3 linked regions of the Stegostoma tigrinum genome follow. The protein of the gene in region 2 purifies or fractionates together with the protein of the main gene of each other region. This does not show direct contact. Links are inferred from orthologs where the notes say so. Each region holds a gene or a part of one and is shown on either strand. Other genes may lie near its edges.

Region 1 (7,996 bases), on a different chromosome or scaffold from region 2:
CTGTAATTAAAGTCTCACAGTGACATGCACACCCCCTGCATCACGTTTCCATTACTTAGTGGATGCTTCTACAATGATTATGTGGACTTCTCGATTATCCAGAATATTTTATCAACTAGCACACTCCTGGTCCCATAGACACTGGTTGATAAAAGGTGCGCTGCATGTGAAGAGAAATGTTCATCATTTGGACCAACTGATTGCAAATAGAGTGTAATGCTATTCCGTAGGATTTTCTTGAGCATTTCTGCATCTGTTACACACTTCCAGCGGCTTTTACAGTTCTTTGTTAGATCAATGTTTGCAGGAGGCACTAGGAACAGGAATTTCAAAATTAAAATGCATCAATCGCATTATCGCGATCCGTTGACTTCATTTTCCCAAAAAAGAGAGTGCAGGTGGTGGGTGGTGGTGGTCGAGGGTTTAGTTTTGAAATCATAAAAGTTCATCAATTCGACCCCAGAAGTGAAAATCATAAGTCAAAGAAACGAACGATTGCTCAGTACAAGGGGCACCTCCTCGTGGGCAAACCAGAAACATGCCGAGTGACAGGATTTTCAGTGCAAGGAAATCTCACGCAGAGGGGAAAGAGCAGGACAGGAATAGGCCACAGCCCCAAACTCAACAAGTACACCATACAGAAGACATGTGTAGCCACCATTTCAAATTAGTAAAGCTGAACAGCTGGCTGCAGACACAAAAACTTGATAAGACATAGGGTCAGCTTAAAATAAAAGGCGGAACATACACTCACGCTAAACGTCGTTTTGCTAGAAGCAGCATTTTAAAAGTGACTCAAAAACCCACAAACGCAGTTTCACAGACACTCAGTTGAATGTTCTGAAGGCATGTAATGGCCCTGAGCCATTCTGCAACAGGAATGAGAAACTTTTAAAAGCCCTCTTCGTTTGGAGCACTCCCTGGGCAAGGTTACAAAACCTGAAATGCTCTCATGTCTTAACATTCACAGCCGGGGGTGGGGGGGGGGAAGAAGTTGTTTACACGTCCTACTTGCAAAGTAATGCGTGCTTCAAGAATGCGTGCATTGTCAAGATAACACCAAAAATCTTTACATTTCCACAAACACAAAGCAACTGTTAAGGTTGTAAACAGCCATCTACTGAAGGTGTGCCCCCCGGATGGCGTTTGAGTGCCCCTAATCTATGGAGTTTGGTTCAAGGGGTCATTTGGGACTTTTTTGCAACGCCAAATGTTTAATTTACAAGATTAGTAGCCAAGGTGAAACTCCCTTCTCCACAAAAAGCATACCAGATGCACTCACCTGGATGAAAGTGACGTTATTGGGGAACTCAGCCACACAGCGATCCACAGCCACGGGTGGGGCAGCGATTGGGCCCTTACACTTGGTCAGCGACAGCGGGAAGCGCCTCTTCACCTGCCCATCGCCCTGCGACGGCAGCATGTCCTGCGACAGGAAATGGCGGATGTTCTGTCGGGCCGTGTGGATGAGGCTACCGTCAATGTCGATGCCCACAATGCGCGAGGGCTTCAAGTCTTTGGCGATGCTGAGCGTCAGGTGGCCCGCGTTGCAGCCCAGGTCCAAGATGTCCTTGCCCTGGAACCACTCAGGCTTGAAGAAGCTGAGCCGGGGGTCCTCACAGCGGCCTGGGTTACGGTAGCCGTAGTACTTGGTGTAGTTGCCATACTGGAACCGCTTCTGTTTGCTCTGGAAGTTGGGCTGGGCCTTGCCATCACGGTGCAGGCTAGAGTGGCGCTGGAAGCTGTGTTGCTGCTGGTGGTGTTGGTGATGGTGGTGGTGAGATGCCTTGCCTTTTGCCTTCTCTGGCATTGGCTTCTTGGCATCCGCACCTGGCAGCCTCGGCTCTTCCTCCGAGCTGGTCGGGATCTTGCCCAGCTCGGACTTGCTGGCGGTCCGGCGCCGCTTGCGATGCCGGCTTCCAGTTGGGGCTTGCTCGGAGCCACGGAGGACAGGTGACACAATCTCGTCCCTGCAGTTAATGAGGGTGTTGAGCTCGTAGGGCTGGGGGCCCTCAGGCTCAGTTGGCACCTCGGAGGACCCCGGCCCCACGCTTGTTCCTGCTGGGTTCTGACCCACAAGGCAGTCCCGGGAGCTTGGGTCCAGTGGGAGAACTTGGTTCCTCTCCGCTGATTCGGTGGCGGTGGCAGACTGGGGTTGCTGGCCAGGCTGGTGGTGGTAATGACGGTGTCGCCTCTTGCGGCCCAACTTGAGGGGCGATGGCAGGACCTCGGAGTCATTGTTGAGGTTGAGCGGGTCGGTGATGTCCTTGGGGATGAGGATCTCTACCGGGTCGCGGTTCCGGCTGGGCAGAGGCGAGGACTTGGGGGTCTCAGCGTTAAGAGCCTTGTTGACGTCCTCGTCCAGCAGGCTGTTGAGGTTGAGCGGGTCAAAGATGTTACCGCCCAGCAGGAAATTGCTGGGCAGCACCGGGTCACAGTCTGAGTTGACGCGGCGCCTCCTCTTGAACCCGGGGTGCTTGAAGCCTACGTTCAAGCTATTCCTCCGTTTGAAGGCCCTCTGCTGCTGCAAGGGCTGGAGCCCATTCCTTGGCCGGCTCAGCTCCGCCACGCTGTCAACCTCATCTTTGGCACCAGGGGACAGGGCAACCTCCTCACTGACGGGCGTCAGCACCCTGCCCGGGTGGCGGTGTAGCTCCTCGACCCCCATGGCAGACAGGTACTCGGGCTTCAGGAGGGTCACCTCCCTGACAGAATCTTCCTCGACCGACGCCGCCATCAGACGGCATGGGGAGCCTCTTGGCCACAGGGGGTGGTTGCTGGCGTGTGGGTCGGCCTGGCTCTCTCTCCTGTGATAGCGCCCCCGTTTGCCCAGTGCAGCAGCAACTTCCCAAGCACCAGGGGCTGAGTCAGCCCTTCCCCCTCCCCCCACCCAAGTTGCAACCAGTGCACGACGTCGCCGTTACGCACTCTAACGGAATCCCACGTCGCCCGTGACGTCAGCGCGTCTCATCAACATAAATGAATTATTCATATTCTGGGACCTTAGCGAACAATCAACTCACCCCCTCCCCCCCACACCCCCTCACCACCAACCTTCACGGGTTTTGTTTATCGACTCCCGCTTCTACCCCTCCCCCGCTAAACCCAGTCCTTTCTATCCTCCACCTGACCGAAAAATCCAAAATGGCAACTTTAAAGCCCTCGATTGTCAAGTTTGTGGAACTTAAAGCGGAAATATATCCGCAAGCGACGAACCGTGCTTATTCATTCGGTGGAAGTCACACGGTTGCTTTTCACACCACCACCCCCCTCTTCCCTTTCGCTTCGAACTCCACCCCCCACCCACTTATTTAAAAGAAAATTAAAATCACTTTTTTTCAAAACCCCCCCCTTTCCTCGCTCACCACCCCTTGGAGCTGCTAAGGCGCACTCGCTATTTTTTTTCCTCTCTCTCCCTTTCCCTGTCCCCTCCCCCCCCTTTCTCCCCTCACAGTGCGCTTGCGTCTCCTTTTATAACCAAGCTGGACCGCCCCTCGGCTGATAGACATCCGTCCCCACCAATCGGCCAGAAGGGGAGCGCGTCGCGCGGCGAACCTCTTCCCGGCCCCGGCCAATCCGGATACAAGGGATGGGCGGGACTTCAGCCACCCTTAGCCCCGCCCCTCCCCCCACAACCGCTGGAAGGCGGGACACGGAGGTTGTGGGGGAGGGGAGGGCCGCCTAGGCGTCCGTCCTCACCGACGGAAAAAAATAGATTGTTTTTTAAAAAAACAGAAATAAGGTATAATAATTAATATGTAACATCTGAGTTTTGGTTCGACGTGTTTCCCAGCCCCAGTAGACAGGGAGAGTCCTCAAGCTTGTTCTGTTAAGGCGGGGACGCAAGGTTAATCCCCGCCGTCGTCTGAGGGAGGGAGGGCTGATGGTGTGTACGGGGGTTTTCAATCGTCCGTCCCCGATGTGGAGTGTTGTTTTTGTTTCCCCTCCCCGCCATCATTCAGGCGCCGGCCGCGGCTCGCCTCCCTCCTTCCGCGCGGCGAAAAACAAACCCGACTTCTCAAACGGGAACCGGGGCCGTCTCACAGGCTCGGCGTTTACTTCACGGGGGTGCGGACACCCTCAGAGCCAGGCCCGCCGGCTGCTGGGAGGGGGTGGAGGGGGGAAGTTGGAAGAAATCGTTAGAGAAAAAAATTCCGTTCGACGCCCTGGGGCTCTCACGTCGTCTTTTTGTCGGTTGGCGCTCGACTCGACATCCGTTGGGGGCGATCACGTGACAGTGGCCCGAAGCGGTGCCCGATGGGAGTTGTAGTTTCCTTCCACTTCCACGCCTCTCCCCACCCCTTCATCTCCCTCCGTCCCCGTTTAACCCCTACTTGCGGTCCCCCCCGCCCATCTTTCAACCTTGCCCCCAATATCCTCCCACTGTCTCTCCCCGTCAACATCCCACCTACCTGACCACCCCCAACCGTGTTCCCACAACTCTCACATCCCACCATCTCTAACTCCTCTTACCCACTCCCCACCCCCATCTCTGATCCCACCATCTCTTTCCCCCTTCCCTCTTCCTATTTCCTCTATCTCTTTATCCCTATCTCCCACATATCCTCCCCAACTCCCCTTCCTACACATTTCTCCTCCGTCTCTCTCTTCCCATCTCCCCTCATTTCCTTCTCCCCAACCGTCTCCTCACCCCACCCCCCACAAAACTCCTCACCTCCAAACACTGGGCATTCACCTACTAGAAACAAAGCCACATTGGGTCTATTTCCCAGCCTCTGGCTGAACTACTCTGTTTCTAAAAGCTGGCCGCTGGAAGGGAACTCACAGCAGGGATTTGGGGAATAAAAGTTTCTCCTAGACAGTAGAGAATGTCTGGAACTCACTGAGGCAGGGTGGTAGAGGCAGGAACCCTCAAGATATTTAAGAACTATTTGCATGAGCATGTCCAAGTGCTTGAAAATGGGATTTGAATAGATGGATGATTGATCATTATCCCAGATGCAATGTGCCAAAGGGCCTCTTTCCATGCTGTATAACTCAATGACAGATAGGGTATAAATCTTATCTTCTCTAACTTCCCTGACTGTCTCCAGGCCGACAACATCTGATTGACTCTTTAACTGCCCTTTGAAGTGGTCAATCAAGCCACTCTACTTGGGGCCAATTGGAGATGGGCAACAAAACCTGGCCTCAGATGCACCCCTGAAAGTTTATTAAAAATTCACTCCACACATTGTAGATACATCGACAGTGATGTGGGGCTGGGAATATCATTCTCGACCCAGCGACAGTGAAGGAACAACAACATATTTCCAAGTCACGGTGGTATGGAGCTTGGAGGGAAGTTGCTGCTGGAGGATTTCTCATACAATTTGTTCTGGATGGTACTTGTGATGGGTTAAAACTATTTCTTGTATTACGCAAAGACTAATGTACTTAATTGGCTGCAAAGTACCATGAGCTGTGAAGAGTACCATATACATACAAGTCTTTTCCTTTAAATTCTTTCTCAGGAAATTGGCAACACAAAGAAAGCTAATATTCTCTGACTGTCTGTTGATCCCCTTGAGAACATGAAAGGTTATGAAAACTGCTTTGTCAAACCTTTGCAGTCACTGTGGTGATCGTACTTAGTGAATGAGATGAGTTTTTTTAACGAGTTCCAAAGTTATGGTTATTTTAATCAACCTGTTCAGACATGTTATGACAAATCTCTGGAGTAGTTGGGAATTGAACTTGGAGGTGGGGTCACTACCAATGCACACTACAAGAGCCCTTCATTCAGCAGTTTTATGCTCGGCCTGTGACTAATTTTAATCCCGAGTGATTAAATTGGAATTTCTTCATGTGGGATTTTATCGAGTCGTGAGATTATTGGGGTGGCATGGTGATTCTGTGGTTAGCACTGCTGCCTCACAGCATTAGTGACCCAGGTTCAATTCCACCCTCTGGTGACTGTCTATGTGGAGTTTGCATGTTTTTCCTGTATCTGCATGGGTTCCCTCTGGATGCTGCAGTTTCCTCCCACAATCCAAAGGTGAATTGGCCATGCTAAGTTGCCCATAGTGTCCAGAGTGTTGAGTGTGGTCGAGGTGGGTTCGCCATGGGAAATGCACATTTTTTATAGAATCCCTAGAATGCGGAAACAGGCCCTTCATGCCAACAAGTCCACACCGATTCTCAGAGGATCCTACCTAGGCCCATCCTCCTTTAATCCAACTAATCTACACATCCCTCAACACTATGGACAATTTTCCCTGGCAAATGTACTGTGCTGTACTTTTCTATGTTCTATGTTTTAAATCCACTTAGCCTGCACATATTTGGACTGTGAGAGGAAACCAGGGCACCCGGAGGACACACACAGACATGGGGAAAATGTCTAAACTCCACATAGACGGCCACCCGAGCGTGGAATTGAGCCCAGGAGCCCGGCACTGTGAGGCAGCAGTGCTAACCACGGAGCTGCCTGTTATAGGAATAGGCTGGGTCTGGGTGGTATGCTCTTTGAAGGGTCGGTGTGGACGTGATGGGCCAAATGGCCTGCTTCCACACCATAGGGATTCTATATATCTTATAAATTCAGTAACAAAACCACTGCGGGGGCTGTTTAGCTAAATTGGCTAGATTTTTAGCGCATGGTTTAGATTGATTCCCAGTTTAGATCAAGTAGATTTAGGAGCTGACTCCTTGCTCTCACCTCGAGAGTTAAAGGTGATGGTAGACACCATGGACAAAAGTATTGAATCTTCTCTATTTCCTTTTCTGGCAATGCGTTCCAGATCACAACAATTTGCTTGCATAAAAAGAAGGAATTTTCTCACCTATTGTCCTTAATTTCTTTGGTAATTATTTCCAAATATCTGCCCCCCCCCCACCCCGCGCCGGTTTCCGATGCTCCTGCCACTAGAGACGGTGTAAAACCAAGTTAGAAAATTATTAATTCGCTGGAAGTGGGTGTTGCTGGTGAGGCCAGCATCTTTTTGCCCATCTCTCGTTGTCTTTGAGGAAGTGCTGGTCAGCAGCCTGCGGCCCATGTGCAAAAGTTCTTAGTTTCAGATGATCGATGTAATCTTAAATGTCATAGAGTCATACAGCATGGAAATAGACCCTTTGGTCTAACCAGCCCATGCTGAACATCATCCCAAACTAAACTACTCCCACCTGCCTGCTCCCGGCCCATATCCCTGCAAACATTTCCTATTCATGTCCGTATCCAAATGTCTTTTAAATATTGTAATTGTACCCGCATCCACCTCTTCCTCAGGAAGTTCATTCCACACGTGAACCACCCTCTATGAAAAACTTGCCCCTCGTTTTTTTTTAAATCTTTTTCCTCTCACCTTAAAATTTGTTCCCTAGTCTTGAAGACCCCCTTCCTAGGGAAAAGACAACTACCATTAACTCTATCTATACAACCTCATTGTTTTATAAACTTCTATAATGTTGCCTGTCAACTCCTACGCTCCAGTGAAAAACGTCCCAACCTATCAAGTGTTACCTTATAAGTCAAAATTTCCATACCTGGTAAATCTTTTCTGTATCTTCCCCATGTCTTCGCCAGAGCCATGAAATATAGACCTGCCTGTCTGCGACAGTCAGTTTCTTCTGCCACTTGATCTAAGTACCAACTCCCTTACCTCCCAGTTCCCAAGCGCCACACAACATAATATGCAACCATATGAAGTAGGCCTCTTTGTCCTGCTCAATCATTCAATAACATTGTGGCTAATCTGATTGTAGACTCGGCTGCACTTTCCGTCTGTACTAGAAATGTTCTTTTTGGCTGTGTATTCATCAGGAGCCTACTTGACGCAACCTTTATATTCAATGACCCAGCCTTGACCATTCTCTGGTGAAGCAGGCTCCACAGACTAATGACTGACAGCAAAAAAAATACACTCCTCATCTCCATGTTAAGTGCAAGACGCCTTATTTTCCCCTGATTCTGGTCTCTCCCACAAGGTGAAATGTTAAAGGAAATACTTTTCACTGTATTTCAGTACGTGACAATAATAAATCAAATCAAAATCTG
Region 2 (7,415 bases):
AGAACTCCTGAACTGGTGGCGTTCTCCTTGTCTTGTTCACATCCCCAAACTATCTGAGAACCAATCATGTTGTTGTTGGCAGGCAGAAGACCTTTGTTACTGATGACTAGCCATGGGGCCAGAAACCAATCAGCTGCTTGTACAAACCAAAGCTCCATGTGTACACAACATTTCAGCTTCTCTGCAAACAACATTTTAACCATTGCTGGAAACACCTGCTGTGTAAACAGTGTCCACAATGCATGTCCGCTTATTTGCTTCAAAACATGTAGCAATCATAAAATCCCTACAGCAGGCCATTCAGCCCATCGTGTCCACACCAACCCAGCCGATCACTGTAACCCTGCGTTTCCCATGGCTAATCCATGAGCCTCCATACTCCTGGAAACTGTGAGCAATTTAGAATGGCCAATCCACTCAATCTGCACATCTTTGGGCTGTGGGAGGAAACTGGAGCAGAGACACAGGGAGATCGTGCAAACTCCAAACCGACAATTGCCTGAGGGTGGAATCGAACCCGGGTCCCTGATGCAGTGCCAACCACTGTGCCACCTACTCATTGTTACTTTCTCATTTCAGTCCACAAGTAAAAATATAGAAGAATAAACAAGTAGGGTCCTTATTAGGCAGGAGAAGAGAGGACCCAATGGTGTTAATAATCAGAAACTTCATTCAAATGCACAAGCAGACAGGCACAAGGGTAGCATGCATGTTTACCTGAGACACCAGGTGACCTGACACGAGGGGTGGCACGGTGGTTCAGTGGTTAGTATTGCTGCCTCACAGCGCCAGGGACCCGGATTCGAGTCCAGTCTCGGGCGACTGTCTGTGTGGAGTTTGCATGTTCTCCCCGTGTCTGCGTGGGTTTCCTCTGGGTGCTCCGGTTTCCTCCCACAGCCCAAAGATGTGCAGGCTGGGTGGATTGGCCAATCTAAATTGCCTGTAGTGTTCAGGGATGCGTATATTAGGTGGTTTATAGGGGGATGGGTCTGGGTGGGATGCTCTGAGGGTCAATGTGGACTTGTTGGGCTGAAGGGCCTGTTTCCACACTGTAGGGCTATGAAGGGCTACAGCCACACCATCAGAAATCTGCTGTCTCAGGCATGTGATTGTCTCAGAGCAGTCTCAAAGTCTGCTGGATATGTGGCCAGACCTGAACTCTCAGAGATAGTAGGAACTGCTGGTGAATCTGAGATAACAAGGTGTAGAGCTGGATGAGCACTCCAGGCCAAGCAGCATCAGAGGAGCAGGAAGGCTGACATTTCAACCTATTTCTGAAGAAGGGTCTAGGCCTGAAACGTCACCTTTTCTGTTCCTCTGATGCTGCTTGGCCTGCTGCATTCATCCAGCTCTACACCTTGTTAACTTAGATTCTCCAGCATCTGCAATTCCTACTATCTCTGATAGAGTTCTGGTCTGTCCACATATCCAGCAACTCCATCAGCGTAGCCACTGGTCTTCAGCAACAGTAAGGCAATAGGGGCAAGAGGAACTTTGAGCTCACTCCAGTCATCCCTTCCTCTCATAGAGACTAGATGGAGGACGAACCACATACTGACCTTCAGAAGTCTTCTAACAGGGAACTCCAGAAGTAGCGGGGTCTTCCTGCTTCACCTTGCCTGCTACCTTCAGACCAAAAGGAGTCTAAGTCAAAGAGGGTGCAGTTGTCTCTTGAAAGGGCATACTGAACATGTCTGGGCTGAGGCCCCCTGGGGCCATCCAGCCAAACTGACAAAGCCAATGGGCTCCAGTATACAGCAGGCTTCCTCCAAACCAGGGACTGCACTGACAGGTAGTGGGAGGGAAAGAAATAAGACCTATTGAGGGTTGTATTGGTAGCACGGGTGACACGTCGTTGTAAATAAGTTCTCACTTTTGTAAATGTGTATTCACTTGTCACTGTCATCTGTTTGTGTATCTCTGTGCATCTGCAAATGCAACGCTGCAGGTACTGCCTCAGCTACCTAGAATACACCTCCTCCCACCCACCCTCCTGCAAAAATTCCATCCCCTATTCCCAATTCCTCCGCCTCCGTCGCATCTGCTCCCACGATAAGACATTCCACTCCCGCACATCCCAGATGTCCAAGTTCTTCAAGGACCGCAACCTCCCCCCCACAGTGATCGAGAACGCCCTTGACCACGTCTCCCGCATTTCCCGCAACACATCCCTCACACCCCGCCCCCGCCACAACCGCCCAAAGAGGATCCCCCTCGTTCTCACACACCACCCCACCAACCTCCGGATACAACGCATCATCCTCCGACACTTCCACCATCTACAATCCGACCCCACCACCCAAGACATTTTTCCATCCCCACCCCTGTCTGCTTTCCGGAGAGACCACTCTCTCCGTGACTCCCTTGTTCGCTCCACACTGCCCTCCAACCCCACCACACCCGGCACCTTCCCCTGCAACCACAGGAAATGCTACACTTGCCCCCACACCTCCTCCCTCACCCCCATCCCAGGGCCCAAGATGACATTCCACATTAAGCAGAGGTTCACCTGCACATCTGCCAATGTGGTATACTGCATCCACTGTACCCGGTGTGGCTTCCTCTACATTGGGGAAACCGAGCGGAGGCTTGGGGACCGCTTTGCAGAACACCTCCGCTCGGTTCGCAACAAACAACTGCACCTCCCAGTCGCAAACCATTTCCACTCCCCCTCCCATTCTCTAGATGACATGTCCATCATGGGCCTCCTGCAGTGCCACAATGATGCTACCCGAAGGTTGCAGGAACAGCAACTCATATTCTGCTTGGGAACCCTGCAGCCGAATGGTATCAATGTGGACTTCACCAGCTTCAAAATCTCCCCTTCCCCCACCGCATCCCTAAACCAGCCCAGTTCGTCCCCTCCCCCCACTGCACCACACAACCAGCCCAGCTCTTCCCCTCCACCCACTGTAACCCAAAACCAGTCCAACCTGTCTCTGCCTCCCTAACTGTTCTTCATCTCACCCATCCCTTCCTCCCACCCCAAGCCGCACCTCCATATCCTACCTACTAACCTCATCCCACCTCCTTGACCTGTCCGTCTTCCCTGGACTGACCTATCCCCTCCCTACCTCCCCACCTCCCCACCTATACTCTCCTCTCCACCTATCTTCTTTACTCTCCATCTTCGGTCCGCCTCCCCCTCTCTCCCTATTTATTCCAGTTCCCTCTCCCCATCCCCCTCTCTGATGAAGGGTCTAGGCCCGAAACGTCAGCTTTTGTGCTCCCGAGATGCTGCTGGGTCTGCTGTGTTCATCCAGCCTCACATTTTATTATCTTGGATTCTCCAGCATCTGCAGTTCCCATTATCTCACTGCAGGTACTAATGCCCCACATCCCTACCACTAGGTAATGTGCCATGGACCAGGGTGCAAAGTGAACAGCTGCTGGCAATGGGTGAATTGCAGATACCGGTGACTTTGGCAACTGGACTCCATCTTGCAGTTGCACAAACACTGCTACTGCATTTGTGTGGTTCAATCGTCATCATGTCATGCTGCATAAGCAACAAGTGTGGGGAGATTGGGACGGCTGACGTGGAGGCGTGGTGAAGGGAGATGGTGAGGGTGATGGGGAGGGGAGATGAGAAGGAGATGGTGAGGGGTTAATGAAGAGGGGATGGTGAAGGGATGATGGGGGGAATGAGGAGGGAATGGTGAGGGGGTGATGGTGAGAGGGGAATGTGGAGAGGGATGTGGACGGGATAGTGAGGGGAATGGGGAGGGGACGGTGTGAGGGGCATGGGGAGGGGATGGTGGGAGGGGGATAGTGAGGGGGGATGGGGAAGAAATGGTGAGGGGGAAAGTGGAGGGGATAGTGAGGGGGATGTGGAGGGGATAGTGAGGGCAATGGGATAGTGAAGGGGGATGGTGAGTGGGGAATGGGGAGGGGACGGTGAGAGGGGAATGGGGAGGGGATGGTGGGAGGGGGATAGTGAGGGGGGATGGGGAAGAAATGGTGAGGGGGAAAGTGGAGGGGATAGGGGAGGGGATAGTGAGGAGGGACGGTGGGATAGTGAAGGGGGATGGTGAGTGGGGAATGGGGAGGGACGGTGAGGGGGAATGGGGAGGGGATGGTGGGAGGGGGATAGTGAGGGGGGGTGGGGAAGAAATGGGGGGTGGGGAAGAAATGGTGAGGGGGAAAGTGGAGGGGATAGTGAGGGCAATGGGATAGTGAAGGGGGATGGTGAGTGGGGAATGGGGAGGGGACGGTGAGAGGGGGATAGTGAGGGGGGAGTGGGGATGGGATGGAGATGGTGAGGGGGGAGAACGGAGGGGACGGGACTGTGTTGGCATGGGGATGGTGGGGGAAGGGAGCGGGCCGAATGCGGGTCCTCCGCCAATCAGACGCCGGGGTTTGGGTGCGGGGGTGGGGCCGGGGCTCACACGTGACTGCAGCTATTTCCGTTAGTTGTGGCGCGAGGCAGCGGCCATTTTGTCTGAGCGCGAGGAGTTGGAGGGAGCGAGCAGGTACCGTGACCGGGGAGGAACCGATAAGGATTAGGGACCCCCCACCATCCCCCTCGCCGGGCTAGTGAGTTACAGGCCGGGAATCGGGGGAGGGGTAAGGTAGGAGGCGGCAGGCGGGCATGAATCACGGCGTGGGCTGGGTCGGTGGGGATCGGCCCTCAGGGTCTCTTGTCCCCGGGCCTGCCGTGAGAGTGCTGCCCGGAGAGCGGCTCTGGGTCAGCCTCTGCCTCCGTGTGTGTATATTATATATATATATATATATATATATGTGTGTGTGTGTGGGTAGGGAAGTGTCAGGAAGTTCAGCCTCTTCCCGGGGCCGTCCTCGGGTGGGGCTCGGCGCCTCTGCCGCCATTTTCTCGGCAGAGACTGAGAACAAAGAGAGCGGCGGTCCCTGGGCCCTGACCCCCGGCCCGGCGGCCAGTACTCGGACTCAACCGGATCCGGGGCATCGCTGGACGCTCGGCGGCGTCAGCGCCGTGTCCTACCCGATCTTGCTAAACACCCACCACACCACCATCTCTCTTCTCTCTTTCCCCCCCCCCCCTCCGATAATCAGGCATTCCCTTCTACCACACACCCCCCCCCCCATACACAGGCATTCCCTTCTACCACACACCCCCCCCCCCATACACAGGCATTCCCTTCTACCACACACCCCCCCCCCCATACATAGGCATTCCCTTCTACCACACACACACACACCCCCATACATAGGCATTCCCTTCTACCACACCCCCCCCCCCCATACATAGGCATTCCCTTCTACCACACACCCCCCCCATACATAGGCATTCCCTTCTACCACACACACACCCCCCCCATACATAGGCATTCCCTTCTACCACACACCCCCCCCCCCATACACAGGCATTCCCTTCTACCACACACCCCCCCCCCATACATAGGCATTCCCTTCTACCACACACACCCCCCCCCATACATAGGCATTCCCTTCTACCACACATCCCCCCACCCCATACACAGGCATTCCCTTCTACCACACACCCCCCACCCCATACACAGGCATTCCCTTCTACCACACACCCCCCACCCCATACACAGGCATTCCCTTCTACCACACACCCCCCCCCCCCATACATAGGCATTCCCTTCTACCACACACACCCCCCCCCCCCCCATACATAGGCATTCCCTTCTACCACACATCCCCCCACCCCATACACAGGCATTCCCTTCTACCACACACCCCCCCCCCCATACATAGGCATTCCCTTTTACCACACATCCCCCCACCCCATACACAGGCACTCCCTTCTACCACACACCCCCCACCCCATACACAGGCATTCCCTTCTACCACACACCCCCCCCCCATACACAGGCATTCCCTTCTACCACACCCCCCCCCCCATACACAGGCATTCCCTTCTACCACACACCCCCCCCCCCCATACATAGGCATTCCCTTCTACCACACACACCCCCCCCCCCATACATAGGCATTCCCTTCTACCACACATCCCCCCACCCCATACACAGGCATTCCCTTCTACCACACACCCCCCACCCCATACACAGGCATTCCCTTCTACCACACACCCCCCCCCCCATACACAGGCATTCCCTTCTACCACACCCCCCCCCCATACACAGGCATTCCCTTCTACCACACCCCCCCCATACACAGGCATTCCCTTCTACCACACCCCCCCCCCCCCCATACACAGGCATTCCCTTCTACCACACACCCCCCACCCCATACACAGGCATTCCCTTCTACCACACACCCCCCACCCCATACACAGGCATTCCCTTTCCCCTTTCTACCCCCCCCCATACACAGGCATTCCCTTCTACCACACACCCCCCCATACACAGGCATTCCCTTGTCCAAAGGCATGACCTTTGCCATTGTGACTTAATTTCTCTGGTCCAAATATGGAGGCAGCTAATGATCCACTAGTTCATGAAGCGTTTGATTTTGTAGCTGTCCCAGTGACAGACTAGCCACTTGAAGGTGTTCAGGTGAAATATTGATCTGTTGTATCCAAGATCTGTTTGGTTTTGTCTGCAAGCTGCTTTAGCAACATTTTAAGCTAACTCATCCCAACTCCTTGTTCACTTCTCAGAATATCTGTGCTGAATATTTGATTACATATGTTTTGCTTTGTAGAGTTTTGCAGCTGTTTCCACAGATATTGGTCTGAAATTACTTGGTTTGTAGTGGTTTCAGGATTCCTCCTGTGGGATAGTAAGCGTTGCATTACTCTCTCTAGACCCTTTGTGTGACTTTAAGGGGGTCAGCAGTGCAATGGACATGTGAAATGTGAAGCAGTTTCATACTTGCATGCAAGTGCTGTGACTGGATACTGGACTTTCTGTGGGGTTTGGTGTCCATTTAAAACATATCTTTTAATGACCTCCATATTGCCATTATACTGATGTTGAGGGATTCCAGATTAATTCCTGAATTATTTAAAGTGCTCATTGTGTTGCTTGTTTTTCGAGGTTTTAAATGTCTATAATGACTCAAGGTTGGCAGAATGTGTAGAATCTGTTAACTAAATTTTTAAAATTTGTATCTTGTATTCCAGCCATGAATCATGGTTCATGTCCTCTTGACTGCAAGGTGTACGTAGGAAACCTTGGAAACAATGGAAATAAGACAGAGCTTGAGAGATCATTTGGATATTATGGCCCTCTCCGCAGTGTATGGGTTGCCCGGAATCCACCTGGATTTGCATTTGTTGAGTTCGAAGATCCGCGAGATGCTTCGGATGCAGTCAGAGAACTTGATGGAAGGTAATTATTTCCCTCCCTAAAGTTGGTGTCATTCCCTTTTGAGTTGTCTTCACAGCTTTTGTTGCATACTTCCCAAAACTGATTCTGAGAAGCAGTCAGATCAATGTGCTGTTGATGAATGGAGACATTTTATGGACATGTGGAACTGCTCCATCTAATGGCCAGAGTGAGATTGCA
Region 3 (7,061 bases), on a different chromosome or scaffold from region 2:
CTCAAGCATAAACATCTCGGTTGGTAACCTAATGCAATACGAAGAAATGTTGCAATGTCAGAGTTAATGTCTTTTGGATGAAGCATTATATCTGGGGCCCCTCCTATCCTCCCATGTAGATGTAAATGTTCCTATTGCATCATATTGAAGAGCATGGGAGTTACCCCAGTGCATGGACAATATTTACCCTCCAATCAAATGAAAAGTAGTTACTTGAGGGATCTTGCTGCGCACAATTTTGCTGCACAGTTTTACAATAATTATACTTCAAAAAGTGCTTTGTAAATTGTAAATTCTTTGGAGCATCCTATGGTGATGTAAGATGCTATATAAATGCAAACGTGTTTCTGTAACCCATTTACGTGCACTCCTCCAATTCTGGTCTAGAGTATCTCCAGGTTTTACAATGAACTACTGGCAACTGTGCATTCAGCTGCAGAAACTATATTTTCTGGAATTCCCTCCTTAAACCTCTCCATCCCTCTCTTGCTTCAAGACAGTGTGTAAAACATCTCTCTTCTGGTCTAATATGTCTAGTGGCTGGGCATCCAAAACTTTCTTGCTCTCGTGAAGTGCCTTGGAATGTTTCACCATGTAGAAGAACTCAAAAGTACTGTTTTTGATCACATAACCTGGCTGCCATATTTGCCAATATGACTGGAGTCGTACTTCCGAAGTAATTTTTGCTGCAAGTGCGCTTTGGGCAACCTGGAATCATGGTCAGGCACTATGTAAATAAAAGAAGATTTAGGTACATTTAAGTCCTCATTGGATAAGCATATGGACATACACGGAATAGTGTAGGTTAGATGGGCTTGAGATCGGTATGACAGGTCAGCACAACATCAAGGGCCGAAGGGCCTGTACTGTGCTGTAACGTTCTATGTTCTATTATTTCTCCATTGTAAACATGAACCTGTGTCACAGTGCTAGGGTCCCAGATGAGTAGTTTATGCAGGACATGGTTCTGTTCCAACGTGCAGTGTTATCATTCACAGAAGATTGGTAACTAGAAGCAGAGCAACATGCTTCATGTGAACAGGTTTTAAGATCAGGGACTGATTTAAAAAGTGCTTCAGAATCACCGACATTAATCAGAAAGAACAGGCTAATGTCCGGATGAAAACAGAGCTTCAGACATACATTCATTTGTGACAATGTCTCCACCCTAAACCATGACCGCTGTCTTTCAGATTCCAACTAAATTGGTGTGTATTCCAGAATTTTGCGTTAGTTTTTCAGTACGCCGACATTCAACTTCAACTTTATCTGCAATAAACACTCAAGATGACACCCATTTCAGAATTTTGGCAAAACCCTGAAAAATCTTTTTGAACAAAAATGGTGCATTGCTTGATGAACGTATCCCAGTATCCATTTAACTCTTCTCCTCACTGCACTGCTGCATGCAGAACCGATCCAAGTCTTGGGGAAGGATCATCCATGCCCAGAAGCCAGTATCAGTTTACATTTCAGTCCTTAAGTATTAGGAATATGCTTCGATGATTTCATTGCTCAATAAAGGAGAAGTACAATACCACAACTAGGTTAAGAAAAAAACCATGTCGCATATAATCCACACAGGTCATGTGAGCCATTCCCGAGTAACAGCTTCTCCACTTTTTTGTAGATTTATCATCCAATTAATTGGCAAAGAAAAAGACTATTTGCTCAATCGTGCACATGTTGCTAACAGTAAAAATGCATGCAGAAACAGAATACAGGTATGAAAAGAAAGCATCACATGCTCTCCACACCAACAGTCACGATCCTATCTCCTCACCATTTCCCAGCACCCTTCACTCCATCAACCACCAACCAATTCTTAAATGGCCTCTGGTCACATAAAACTCTGTTCCATCCCTTCGTAACTTTTAACATGTCAAGCTACCCCATAATATCCTGTTCTAATGACAAAAGGATCAAAGTTGAGCATGAATCACACCGTTACAGCATCTCAGAACGCAACAGGAAAAAAAGACAAAATCCTGGGCATAAACATTGTTTGTAACAGGAGTTTCAGCTCGGGTGGACAGGGATGCCTGGTCCACAGGTTTGGAGCAAGAATCCTGAACTGGCAGATCAAGCAGTGAGGTAGAGACGAATAAGAATTGATGTGTGAGTGCAGTCAGATGAGTGATCTGCAGACAGGGACTCCCAAATCTCAGGTGTGGTACGGTGGTGAGATCTAACAAGTAAGTAATGTCTGGGAGCACTGGTTGGGAGCTTCGGGGGCAGGGGAGGGATGTGAAGCAAAGGATTCGGGATCTAAAATCAGGGAAGGTTAGTATACCCACAACATAGGACCTGGGAAGCTGAATCTGACACTGGGTACTCCCCTACCACAGATCCTTGGACTGGGGATGGCGAAAAGAAATTTGGGATCTGGGAGTTTTAAAGATGGGGGTGGCAGGGGACTGAGCAACCCCCTTACTTATCGATCAAACCCCACCCCACCCCAACACCTGTCCCAGTCTTGGGCCCGGCCACAGATTCCTCACCCTCTTTCTCCTTCATGGGCCTGCACTAACCTGGCTCGGTCTCCACGCCGCTCCCGCTCACTCTCCTGGTCCAGGGATTGACTCTGGGCGGGGGCGCCTCGATGAACTCCTTCCTGCGGCCGCAGCCACCGGCCCTCTGCTCCTCAGCGCTGTCTCCAGCCTGTCCCGGGGGCTCGGAGCCGGGCCCTGGTCCAGGTCCGGAGGCCACTCCGGGCTCTGCAGGCGGAGCCGGGCTGGGAGCGCCGGACTCGCCGGCACAGGCCGTTTTACTCCACGGGTTCACCTTGGGCGGCGGGGCTGCCATGAGGCGCTTGGCCTCAGGCCTGGTGCCGGTGCCAGCCCCGGTCTGGGAGGACGCCTGCTCGGGCCCGGCGGCCTGGCGCAATGCCGGGGCCTGGGCGTGTACCGAGTTCTGGGCCGGCTCCGAACGCGGTTGCTCCGGGGCCTGGGCTCCGTGAGGCGACGGCAGACTCTGCACCTGCGTGGCCATGGCGGCGGCTGGGCTCGCACTCGGACTCCGTGTGGCAGCAGCGTACGCGCGCACGCACCGCGCCGAACCCACGCTGACGCGGGGCGCGCACGTACTCCGCCGTTCCCCAGCTGACCCGAGGGAGCGAGCAACGGTGGGTGGGACTTGAAAAACAGAGCCCGCCCACACCCACGCCCCGTTACCAACGCAGCAACATCCCAAACACACCCCCCTCCCCGACACAGAACACCGCAACATCCCAAACACACCCCTCTCCCCGACACAGAACCCAGCAACATCCCAAATACATCCCCCTCCCCGACACAGAACACCGCAACATCCCAAACACACCCCTCTCCCCGACACAGAACACCGCAACATCCCAAACACACCCCCCTCCCCGACACAGAACACCGCAACATCCCAAACACACCCCTTTCCCCCACACAGAACCCAGCAACATCCCAAACACACCCCTTTCCCCCACACAGAACCCAGCAACATCCCAAATACACCCCCCTCCCCGACACAGAACCCAGCAACATCCCAAATACACCCCCCTCCCCCACACAGAACCCCGCAACATCCCAAATACACCCCCCTCCCCGACACAGAACACCGCAACATCCCAAACACACCCCTTTCCCCCACACAAAACCCAGCAACATCCCAAATACACCCCCCTCCCCGACACAGAACCCAGCAACATCCCAAATACACCCCCCTCCCCGACACAGAACCCCGCAACATCCCAAATACACCCCCCTCCCCGACACAGAACCCCGCAACATCCCAAACACACCCCTTTCCCCCAAACAGAACCCCGCAACATCCCAAATACATCCCCCTCCCCGACACAGAACCCCGCAACATCCCAAACACACCCCTTTCCCCGACACAGAACCCCGCAACATCCCAAATACACCCCCCTCCCCGACACAGAACCCCGCAACATCCCAAATACACCCCCCTCCCCGACACAGAACCCAGCAACATCCCAAATACACCCCCCTCCCCGACACAGAACCCCGCAACATCCCAAATACACCCCCCTCCCCGACACAGAACCCCGCAACATCCCAAATACATCCCCCTCCCCGACACAGAACCCCGCAACATCCCAAATACATCCCCCTCCCCCACACAGAACACCGCAACATCCCAAATACACACCCCTCCCCGACACAGAACCCCGCAACATCCCAAATACATCCCCCTCCCTGACACAGAACACCGCAACATCCCAAATACATCCCCCTCCCCCACACAGAACACCGCAACATCCCAAATACACCCCCCTCCCCGACACAGAACCCCGCAACATCCCAAATACATCCCCCTCCCCGACACAGAACACCGCAACATCCCAAATACATCCCCCTCCCCGACACAGAACCCAGCAACATCCCAAATACATCCCCCTCCCCCACACAGAACACCGCAACATCCCAAATACACCCCCCTCCCCGACACAGAACCCCGCAACATCCCAAATACATCCCCCTCCCCGACACAGAACACCGCAACATCCCAAATACATCCCCCTCCCCGACACAGAACCCCGCAACATCCCAAATACATCCCCCTCCCCGACACAGAACCCCGCAACATCCCAAATACATCCCCCTCCCCGACACAGAACCCCGCAACATCCCAAATACACCCCCCTCCCCGAAGCAGAACCCCGCAACATCCCAAATACATCCCCCTCCCCGACACAGAACCCAGCAACATCCCAAATACAACGCCCTCCCCACACAGAACCCAGCAACATCCCAAACACACCCCCTCCCCCACACAGAACCCAGCAACATCCCAAATACACCCCCCTCCCCGACACAGAACCCAGCAACATCGCAAATACATCCCGCTCCCCCACACAGAACCCAGCAACATCCCAAATACACCCCCCTCCACAAAGCAGAACCCCGCAACATCCCAAATACATCACCCTCCCCGACACAGAACCCAGCAACATCCCAAATACAACCCCCTCCCCACACAGAACCCAGCAACATCCCAAACACACCCCCTCCCCCACACAGAACCCAGCAACATCCCAAATACACCCCCCTCCCCGACACAGAACCCAGCAACATCGCAAATACATCCCCCTCCCCCACACAGAACCCAGCAACATCCCAAATACACCCTCCTGCCCCACACATAACCCTGCATCATCCCCAATGCATTCGCCTCCTCCGTTCAGAACCCCGCAACATCCCAAACACATCCCCCTCCCATACACAGAACCCAGCAACATCCCAAACACATCCCCCTCCCCTACACAGAACACCGCAACATCCCAAACACATCCCCCTCCCTTACACAGAACCCCGCAACATCCCAAACACATCCCCCTCCCCCACACAGAACCCAGCAACATCCCAAACACACCCCCTCCCCCACACAGAACCCAGCAACATCCCAAATACACCCCCCTCCCCGACACAGAACCCAGCAACATCCCAAATACATCCCCCTCCCCCACACAGAACCCAGCAACATCCCAAATACACCCTCCTCCCCCACACATAACCCTGCATCATCCCCAACGCATTCGCCTCCTCCATTCAGAACCTCGCAACATCCCAAACACATCCCCCTCCCCTACACAGAACCCAGCAACATCCCAAACACATCCCCCTCCCCTACACAGAACCCCGCAACATCCCAAACACATCCCCCTCCCTTACAGAGAACCCCGCAACATCCCAAACACATCCCCCTCCCCCACACAGAACCTAGCAACATCCCAAACACACCCCCTCCCCAAAGCAGAACCCCGCAACATCCCAAATACACCCCGCTCCCCAACACAGAACCCCGCAACATCCCAAATACACCCCCCTCCCCACACAGAACCCCGCAACATTCCAAACACATCCCCCTCCCTTACACAGAACCCCGCAACATCCCAAACACATCCCCCTCCCCCACACAGAACCTAGCAACATCCCAAATACACCCCGCTCCCCAACACAGAACCCCGCAACATCCCAAATACACCCCTCTCCCCACACAGAACCCAGCAACATACCAAATACACCCCCCTCCCCACACATAACCCTGCATCATCCCAAACACATTCGCCTCCTCCATTCAGAACCCCGCAACATCCCAAACACATCCCCCTCCCTTACACAGAACCCCGCAACATCCCAAACACATCCCCCTCCCCCACACAGAACCCAGCAACATCCCAAGCACATCCCCCTCTCCAAAGCAGAACCCCGCACCATCCCAAATACAACCCCCTCCCCAACACAGAACTCAGCAACATCCCAAATACACCGCCCTCCCCGACACAGAACCCAGCAACATCCCAAATACACCCCCTTCCCCGACACAGAACACCGCAACATCCCAAACACATCCCCCTCCCCTACACAGAACCCCGCAACATCCCAAACCCACCCCCCACCCCCACACAGAACCCCGCAACATCCTAAACACACACCCCTCCCCCACACAGAACCCCGCAACATCCCAAATACACCCACCTCCACGACACAGAACCCAGCAACGTCCCAAATACACCCCCCTCCCCACACAGAACCCAGCAACATCCCAAATACACCCCCCTCCCCGACACAGAACCCAGCAACATCCCAAACACACCCCCCTCCCCAAAGCAGTACCCTGCAACATCCCAAATACACCCCCCTCCCCGACACAGAACCCAGCAACATCCCAAATACACCCCCCTCCCCACACAGAACCCAGCAACATCCCAAATACATCCCCCTCCCCACACAGAACCCCGCAACATTCCAAACACATCCCCCTCCCTTACACAGAACCCCGCAACATCCCAAACACATCCCCCTCCCCCACACAGAACCCAGCAACATCCCAAGCGCATCCCCCTCCCCAAAGCAGAACCCCACACCATCCCAAATACACCCCCCTCCCCAACACAGAACCCAGCAACATCCCAAATACGCCCCCCTCCCCGACACAGAACCCAGCAACATCCCAAACACATCTCCCTCCCCGACACAGAACCCAGCAACATCCCAAATACACCCCCTTCCCCGACACAGAACCCAGCAACATCCCAAACACATCCCCCTCCCCTACACAGAACC

The links. The genes of interacting proteins can lie anywhere in the genome.
Region 1: the proteins of serine/arginine-rich splicing factor 3 (region 2) and 7SK snRNA methylphosphate capping enzyme-like purify together in Homo sapiens (affinity purification with mass spectrometry; 3 studies listed by BioGRID and IntAct, with this or other methods). This does not show direct contact. The link is inferred for Stegostoma tigrinum from reciprocal best matches to the Homo sapiens genes SRSF3 and MEPCE.
Region 3: the proteins of serine/arginine-rich splicing factor 3 (region 2) and larp1 purify together in Homo sapiens (co-immunoprecipitation; 3 studies listed by BioGRID and IntAct, with this or other methods). This does not show direct contact. The link is inferred for Stegostoma tigrinum from reciprocal best matches to the Homo sapiens genes SRSF3 and LARP1.

The regions. Positions count from the first base shown.
Region 1 is NC_081398.1:9,416,932-9,424,927, forward strand, and holds the start of 7SK snRNA methylphosphate capping enzyme-like, read right to left. Parts: upstream 3,018-7,996; 5' UTR 2,738-3,017; coding exon 1,283-2,737; intron 1-1,282. UniProt on the Homo sapiens protein: S-adenosyl-L-methionine-dependent methyltransferase that adds a methylphosphate cap at the 5'-end of 7SK snRNA (7SK RNA), leading to stabilize it.
Region 2 is NC_081374.1:45,876,061-45,883,475, forward strand, and holds the start of serine/arginine-rich splicing factor 3, read left to right. Parts: upstream 1-4,403; 5' UTR 4,404-4,472; exon of another isoform or gene 4,473-4,536; intron 4,537-7,030; 5' UTR 7,031-7,032; coding exon 7,033-7,238; intron 7,239-7,415. UniProt on the Homo sapiens protein: Splicing factor, which binds the consensus motif 5'-C[ACU][AU]C[ACU][AC]C-3' within pre-mRNA and promotes specific exons inclusion during alternative splicing.
Region 3 is NC_081366.1:13,969,318-13,976,378, forward strand, and holds the start of larp1 (la-related protein 1), read right to left. Parts: upstream 3,018-7,061; 5' UTR 2,992-3,017; coding exon 2,532-2,991; intron 1-2,531. UniProt on the Homo sapiens protein: RNA-binding protein that regulates the translation of specific target mRNA species downstream of the mTORC1 complex, in function of growth signals and nutrient availability.